Linked DNA regions of Drosophila melanogaster. The protein of the gene in region 2 interacts with the protein of the main gene of each other region in a pairwise test. Each region holds a gene or a part of one and is shown on either strand. Other genes may lie near its edges.

Region 1 (3,754 bases), on a different chromosome or scaffold from region 2:
TCAATCTCAGTCAGCTCATCCTAGTTAGTCTCTAGATTTGATTCACGTTGGCTGCTTGACTCAAAGGATTCGAATAAATTGTCTGATTTTGATTTGAGCCATGATACCGATAATACATATGCTCACCGCAAACTTGATCAATTTCAGATTTCGACGAATCTCAATCGTATAACCAAGAGTGGAATGAAAAGGTAAAGGATTTCGCCATGAAATCCTGCTCACTGTTGATCTAGATGTTGTTCTTTGCCGTTGTCTATCCTTATTTATCTATTTCTCTCTGTACATGCACTCGATATCCGAAACATAATTCGAATATATATCTATATATCCTGTAGCTAGTGTAGTGATTGCTACTTTCCAATTGCCTTGCATGCCAAAGATCTTGAGTACGATTAAAGAGAAAACATGAGGCTTCGATGACTTATTTTAATACAGATTTCTATGTTTCCACAGGCAAATGCGAATAGCCAATGGCAGGAGCAGTTTGCACAATGGAGTCTTAATTCGCAGAAGAACTAAGAACTGGCTACCAGTGGAAACCGCAGGACTGGGAATCTCCAGAGGCAGCTGGATGGATGAAGACGAATTCTCGCTTAGCTTTCTACCTTACCTTAACTCATACGTTGACTTAGAGCAATTTATTTATTGATTATTTTACTGAGCCGTAGCCTACACTACCTTAATCATTATAATTTATACTTTGAAGATTGCTATCTACACAGAAAACACAGATATGTAAACGGATATATGCATCTATATGATTATTTTACTGAAGCAAAAGATATGAATATAGCTGATAAAAAAGACTTGCAGTTGCACTGCTCTTCGAAGTCGCAAAACCATTGAATCTCGTTGAAACTTTTACGATCGTACTGCTAAAGGGCAATAAGAGGTATGGTGTTTTAATTTTAGGTTTCCGCGATTCGTAATTGGCTTTTAGATTGTGTAAGCGCCCCCGTCAGCGGATATTTATTACCAAGAAACTTAACAAATGGAAAATCAAATCACGTAATGCGTAATACAAATACGATATAGACATTGACATATTATGTACTTAATAACTAGCAACTTGTTGAGAACCTAAAATCAAATTCTAAATGCTCTACATTATATATATATATACATTATACACTTTGAGATACGATAAAGCCAACAACTATTTGAATCACATGAAAGAGAAGCCCAATGTTGAACACTAAAACGAAAAACTAAACACGATTTATATATTATCCATTTATAATATGCATTCATACAAAAAAGTTATACCATATAATCGTAACGGCATAGAGCACGATATAGAGAAAATCCGACATTTATAGAACTTATACATAACTACTGAATAAAATAACAAGAAAGAGAAAATTAAATAAAAAGGCATTTTAAACAATCACAAAGAATGAACGTTTTTATTTTGAAATGAAGTTACTAGCTTGAAATTTCATTTTAAATTTCAAATTAATTTGAGGATGCCATTGGTTCCAAGAGGAATGGCGTTGCCATCTGATTTTCGAGTGTGTGTCTCCACTTAGTATATCAACCATATGCTATCTCTGGTTTGAGTCTGAGCTATGTTGCATACCGATAACACTACTGTCTTTATTTAGGCACATTCAAGGTGCCCATCTCCAGGCAAGTTGCGCTCTTGATGGCGCACTTTTCAAAGCCAGAGATTCATTCGTTTCGCGACTTTCGAACTGTGAAGTTGTCTCTCCGGCGCGTTATCTCCGTCTTGGCCAAAACTCGTGACTGATCGAGAGAAGAAGTCTGAAACCAGCTCTGAGCGAGAAGACAAGTGTGGAGACTGCAGTTCAGCATCCGCGTTTGCTGTGCTCAAGAAAGAAACGGCAATAGTTGTCTTCGGTTTCTTGGAGACGTCTTCGCCGCGCTCTCACCCTATTTGGAGAAGATTGAGATCTTGGAGCGCAGCTCTTGAGAAACACTACATATATTAAATCGCGCGCTTGCAGGGTGTGGTGCTAAAAGTCAATTTCTAAGATGTGGCGGCCGAGTATCTCGAATTGCGTGTGGAGCACCCTGCTCCTGGCCATTTTTGTGCAGCAAACGCTAGCACAGCGAACCCCGACCATATCCTACATCACGCAGGAGCAGATCAAGGATATCGGCGGCACAGTGGAGTTCGATTGCTCCGTCCAGTATGCCAAAGAGTACAACGTGCTGTTCCTGAAGACGGACAGCGATCCCGTCTTCCTCTCCACGGGCTCCACGCTGGTCATCAAGGATTCGCGCTTCTCGCTGCGGTACGATCCCAACTCGTCCACCTACAAGCTGCAGATCAAGGACATTCAGGAGACGGACGCGGGCACCTACACCTGCCAGGTGGTGATCTCCACCGTTCACAAAGTGAGCGCCGAAGTGAAGCTATCGGTGCGCCGTCCCCCCGTCATCTCGGACAACTCCACGCAGTCGGTGGTGGCCAGCGAGGGCAGCGAGGTCCAGATGGAGTGCTACGCCAGCGGCTATCCCACACCCACCATCACCTGGAGGCGCGAGAACAATGCCATTCTGCCAACTGGTGAGTTTCTTCATTTATTTGTGGGTGATTATCTTGGGTTACGCTGGGTACGCTGGCTAAGTCAGCTTTCGTTTGGTGGGGCGCGTTCTCCACTTCTCTCTCTCCCTCTTCGCTCTCTCTCTCTCTCCGTTCTCTTGGCTCCCGCTCTCTGGTCAGGTAGCTCTGTCCGTCCCGCTTTGGCATTAGGTTTTAGCTGGGATGGCTGGGAATGGGGGCTTTTAACTGGGCTCGATGCTCTGGGCTCCAGTGTGAGTGACCGTGACTCACTCAGGCGTCACCTTAGTTTTTCAGTTTTGTTTACTCGGCTTGGGCTGGCTGTTCTGGTAAACGGGGTCTAGCCCTGCCCTGCCACCCCCCACCTGTTTCGAGGGCTGAGTTTCGCAACAGCAGATTGATTTTTCATTTTAGGCCGTTTTCCAACTTCTGTCGTTCGAAAACATACACATGCTACCCTTTGTTTACCTTGTTGGGCCTTAGAAGATTGTTTCGCAAAGAGGTCTAACCAAATAACAAGGGAAAATCTAATTTCTAGCAAGTTTGTTAGCTCAAGAATACATTAAGTTGTGCGAAAAAGTTTGATTGTTATTTAACTTAGCAAGGAACTCAATTCTAGCTTCTCTCTTTCTAAATCCATTTTATTATTCATTACTTTTGAAGAAATCAGCACGTACATATGTATGATATTTGGCTTTTGTATAAATACATGTTCTTTTGATTATTAGAATAATGTATCATCGATATTTGCGCAAAATGAAATTTCTTATCCATACACTTGACGAGTTTGGAAAAACCCAAATGGGGGGGTTATATATGTACATGCCAGAAATAATAAATTTATTTTTCTTCACCTTCTTTATGTTCCTCCCATTCCAAGAAAACGGTCCATATTTCTCGGGAAACTCCGTTTCGGACAAGTGCAAATGCTATCTACAAATTGTTTGCGTTTACTTGTCCATCCAGAAATTCTCGAAAGGAAGAGAAAAGCTAATAAAACACTAAAGTAATTTGGTGCCCAGGTAGATGGAACAATAGAATCTTCTCGCTAGGTTAATCCCATACAGGTGCTGCTGTTCCATAGCGATCTCGATGCGATCTTTACCTGAACTCCGACCCTCGGGCAAAACATAATGGCTGTCCTTAACAAGATTGCAGCGTCATTTGGAAAGCAATTAGTGTAACTAATCCGAGAGTTACTCATTACCCAGAACCGACTCGCGGACA
Region 2 (3,754 bases):
AAATTCAATCTTACTCGAGATGGCAGGCCAAAAGGAGGAGATCTTGTGCTGTGACTTTGAGGTGCGTGGCAGGGTGCCCAAGGATGCTTTCGAGCTGTTTGCACTGGTCCAGGCCAATGCACTGGGACTGCGGGGATTCATTGCCCAGGTGTCGGAGGAGAAGTTCAAGGGTCGTCTGGAGGGCGAGGGCAAGGTGATCGATGCCTTTAAGAAGCTCATCCTGGCCGCCGCCGATTACGTGCAGGCCATCAAGGAGTTCATTATTAAGAATCTGAAAGTCATCCAGGAATACACCTACAAGACCTTCGAAATCAAGGTGAACCTAAAGTGATTAAAGGATCAAACAAAATAAAATATTTCCAATGCATAATTTTGTTTAAAACGGCTATCAAAAGTTTTATCCATTATGATTTGTCTAATATTTTTGTTGTATGGATATAACAAGGTATTTTCCAAATAAAAATTACACAGTTATATAATCACAAATTCAAAAGAGTTTCCTAAAGAGCTGATTTATACAACAAGCAATTTCCCAAAGAGAAGAACCTGTATGAAAATGCCAAACTTTTCATGGGCTCATTGTGGATTGAATGATTATTGTTGCGATTGCTGGATCTGGGCAATTCTCCAAATGACCCATGGATTCTCACTTACGAGTACTCCATCGTTGGTTCTAGGACCCATTGCGATCGTGACGAATGAGCTAATGATGTCCATGATCCGTGGGAGGGGATAACCTTGTGGCCATCGCCGCCGGCGATCGGATATCAAATCGAATCGCATGCCTCGGATGCATATACTCGTAGTAAGCTAGCGATGTTCCCGGCTGTTTGGCATGCAAATCGAAGAATCTGATCGCCACCTCGATCGACACGATGAAGGTGTACCACTGGACAACAGCGAACATATAGCCACGGATGGTTATTTATGCGTTCGCGGATACAACTGCCGATTCACTGAGTTCCAGACTTCTCAACCAAATAGCACTGGTTAACAGGCCAGTGAGAAGTGGTAGATTTGAAGTTTAGTTTTTCTATATTAAGAAGATCATCTTAGTCGGCTAAGCACAAAACGTTACCATCTCAACACTGCACATCGGGGGGAATTATCAAAGTGTTCTTTTGTAGGCCAGTGTCGTGTATCTGCAGTGATATATGGACAGCTAAACTATCTTGGCTCAAGCAACGTTACAATTTTATGGGTCAATTTGCGGACGGCCATTACTAGAATTTGTGTGTGTGTGTGTGTGTGCAACAGGTAGCCAAGTGTGTTTTACACAGAGGAAATTAAAAAATCCTTGGTATAAAAATCCTTCCTCCTGAGAAATCTTAAGGTTCAAATATATTCCAGTGAAGAAACTAACCAAATATTAAATACTATTAAATTTTAAATACTATACTATTAAATATCAAATACTATTAAATATTTTAAAGAATTATCTGTAAGTAATACAATTTTCTCGCTGTGTATCTATGAATGTAAGCAATGAACCTATATGCGAAAAGCCACAAAATTGAGGGAAATTAACCTAGGCGGCGACTGCGACTTGGACTAATGCGGTTGCCGCGAACATATATGTTTATACATATGTTTGAATCCCAAGTCTGGATCCGAATCGGTATCCAAAATCAGAATTAGCCGCTTAATTGCAGCGCTGTGGCAACGCCAGCAAACCGGAAAGAACGGCGACAATGATTGCCAATCCGATTCGCAAGCAATCAGTGCTGACTGTACGTCATAACACCAATAGAAGCATAATTAGTATAATTATAAGTTATAAAAAGTAAAGAGTATGAGAAACAGCTACTACATTTAGTACACAATACATTGATCTTTTGGAAAATATGCTTATGAAAGTGATTGAATCCTTAGCCAACAAGTTAAATAACTGCATGAATCTCTAAAGTACAAGTTATATTCTTCAATTTTCAAGTAATTCGTACACATAAACGTTTGCAATCGAATGAGAATGTCATTTCGAAGATGACTCTTTTTTTTATAAGCTTTTGAAAAAAGCTAAGCTCTCATCTCTGATCGCCGGCGCGCCGCAGTCGCGTCGCAGTCGCCGTTCGCTGCTTCCAATTCCGACGCTCTGCAGCTCAGTTTGCTTTGAGCGCTGGAACGCGAAAGTCGTCGACGGAGGGCCAACGTTGCGGATGAAAGTTTCGAAGCGAACTGGGAAGATTTTTGAAAAGCGCAGGCGTGCAACGGTTTTTTTTTTTTAGTTTTTCTTTTTTTTTTTTGGGGGGGTTTGGGCTACGCTTCGCGGCGAGCGGTGAATGGCAGCCTTTTTTTCGAGTGTGGTGGCTGAGTGCAATTCAAAACGCATTTCGTGCATAATTTGTGGAATTTTACGCGTTGTAAAATCAATTTCATTGTGCAAATTTGAAAACTTGCCTGCTTTCCGTTGGCTTTCAGCGGCAACAGCTGAAATATAATGCAGCCACATCAAGCGGGCAAGCAATAAACAAATATCAAAAAAAAAAAAAAAACCAAGAAAATTTACAAAATATAAAAACACACACATTTGAAGAGTCAACAACAGCGATTACAAGGCACTAAAAACCAAAGGAAGAGGTGAGCAAATATTTCCATTCATTTGTTATTCTTTCGTTGGGCTTAAAATATTTTCGTATTTTTTTTTTCTTGTTGCTGTCTGATTTTTCGTTTATTTTGGTTTCGCTGATTTTTTTAATTCGAATGGAGTACACAGAAAATAATAGAATATGTTGAAAATTGTAAGATTTAAACATAATAATATATTTATTATGTGGCATTTGAAATTGAAAACGTGCTAAAATCAATTTGAATTCGACCTGCCTAGCTTGATTAGAACAAAGTAGTACATGCTCTTTTCGCACAGTGTGCCTATCCCAGCTGGCTCACACACACACAGGCACACGCACAACCTCTTTAAAGTTGTCGCTGTTGTTGTTGTCCTCATTTATCTGGACTCAAAGAGCTGAAGTTCGGAGTCGCGGACTCAAAAACTCTGAGCCGTCGTCTTCGATTATTGAGCCGTTTGACTTTTTCCCAACTGCCAGCGAACCTGTTGGCCCCACAGGCAAAAAACAAAAACTACAGCGAAAATATATACGAAACTGGTGAAAAAAGTAGATATATATACATATATATATATATATATATGAAAAAAAAAGATGAAAAAGATGCTCTGGTCAGCCTCTAGAAATAAGCAAGTATCTGTCTTTGAGCTCTTTTCTCTTCTCAATCTTTTGCTTTTTTGCTTTTTTTTTACACTCGTAAAGCCCATAAAGTGCCGCATATACTTGACCTATCCGAAACTGCGGGTTCTACCCGGGGGGAATGGATAATGGATAATGGATAATGGATAATGGATAATGGTCGCCGAAGTGGCCGAGTTGCTTACTGGGTTGGGTTGGCCAGTTGCACTTGGCCTTAAATCGCTTTATTTTACCTGGAAAATCTCTAATTCGTTCCGACGGAATTCAGCGATTTTATGTTGAAATGTCAAGTGCAGAAAAATAAAGTGGTTCTAATAAATATGCAAGTGAAATACATAGATCACTAACAATCCCCTAGATACCTCTTAAAAAACGATCTTTATTTTAAATATACTCATATATAAAGTTTATGAATATCCTTAGTGAATGCAGTAAACAGAAGGCAATATAATATGTTTTTGTAAGTGAAATACTACTTATTTAGAATAATATTCTATAATATATTTGACAAAGACCTGATTTTTTGTTCACTGTGCAATCTGCTTTTGGGT

The links. The genes of interacting proteins can lie anywhere in the genome.
Region 1: the proteins of CG15365 (region 2) and Lac interact in a two-hybrid assay, tested with the Drosophila melanogaster proteins (one large-scale study listed by BioGRID).

The regions. Positions count from the first base shown.
Region 1 is NT_033778.4:12,451,522-12,455,275, forward strand, and holds the start of Lac (lachesin), read left to right. Parts: upstream 1-1,668; 5' UTR 1,669-1,995; coding exon 1,996-2,533; intron 2,534-3,754. UniProt on the Drosophila melanogaster protein: Required for normal tracheal development and maintenance of the trans-epithelial diffusion barrier. Functions as a homophilic cell-adhesion molecule. May play a role in early neuronal differentiation and axon outgrowth.
Region 2 is NC_004354.4:9,066,331-9,070,084, reverse strand, and holds the start of CG15365 (uncharacterized protein), read left to right. Parts: upstream 1-2,101; 5' UTR 2,102-2,577; intron 2,578-3,754. Other genes in the region: CG10970 (uncharacterized protein), read left to right, coding at 20-331.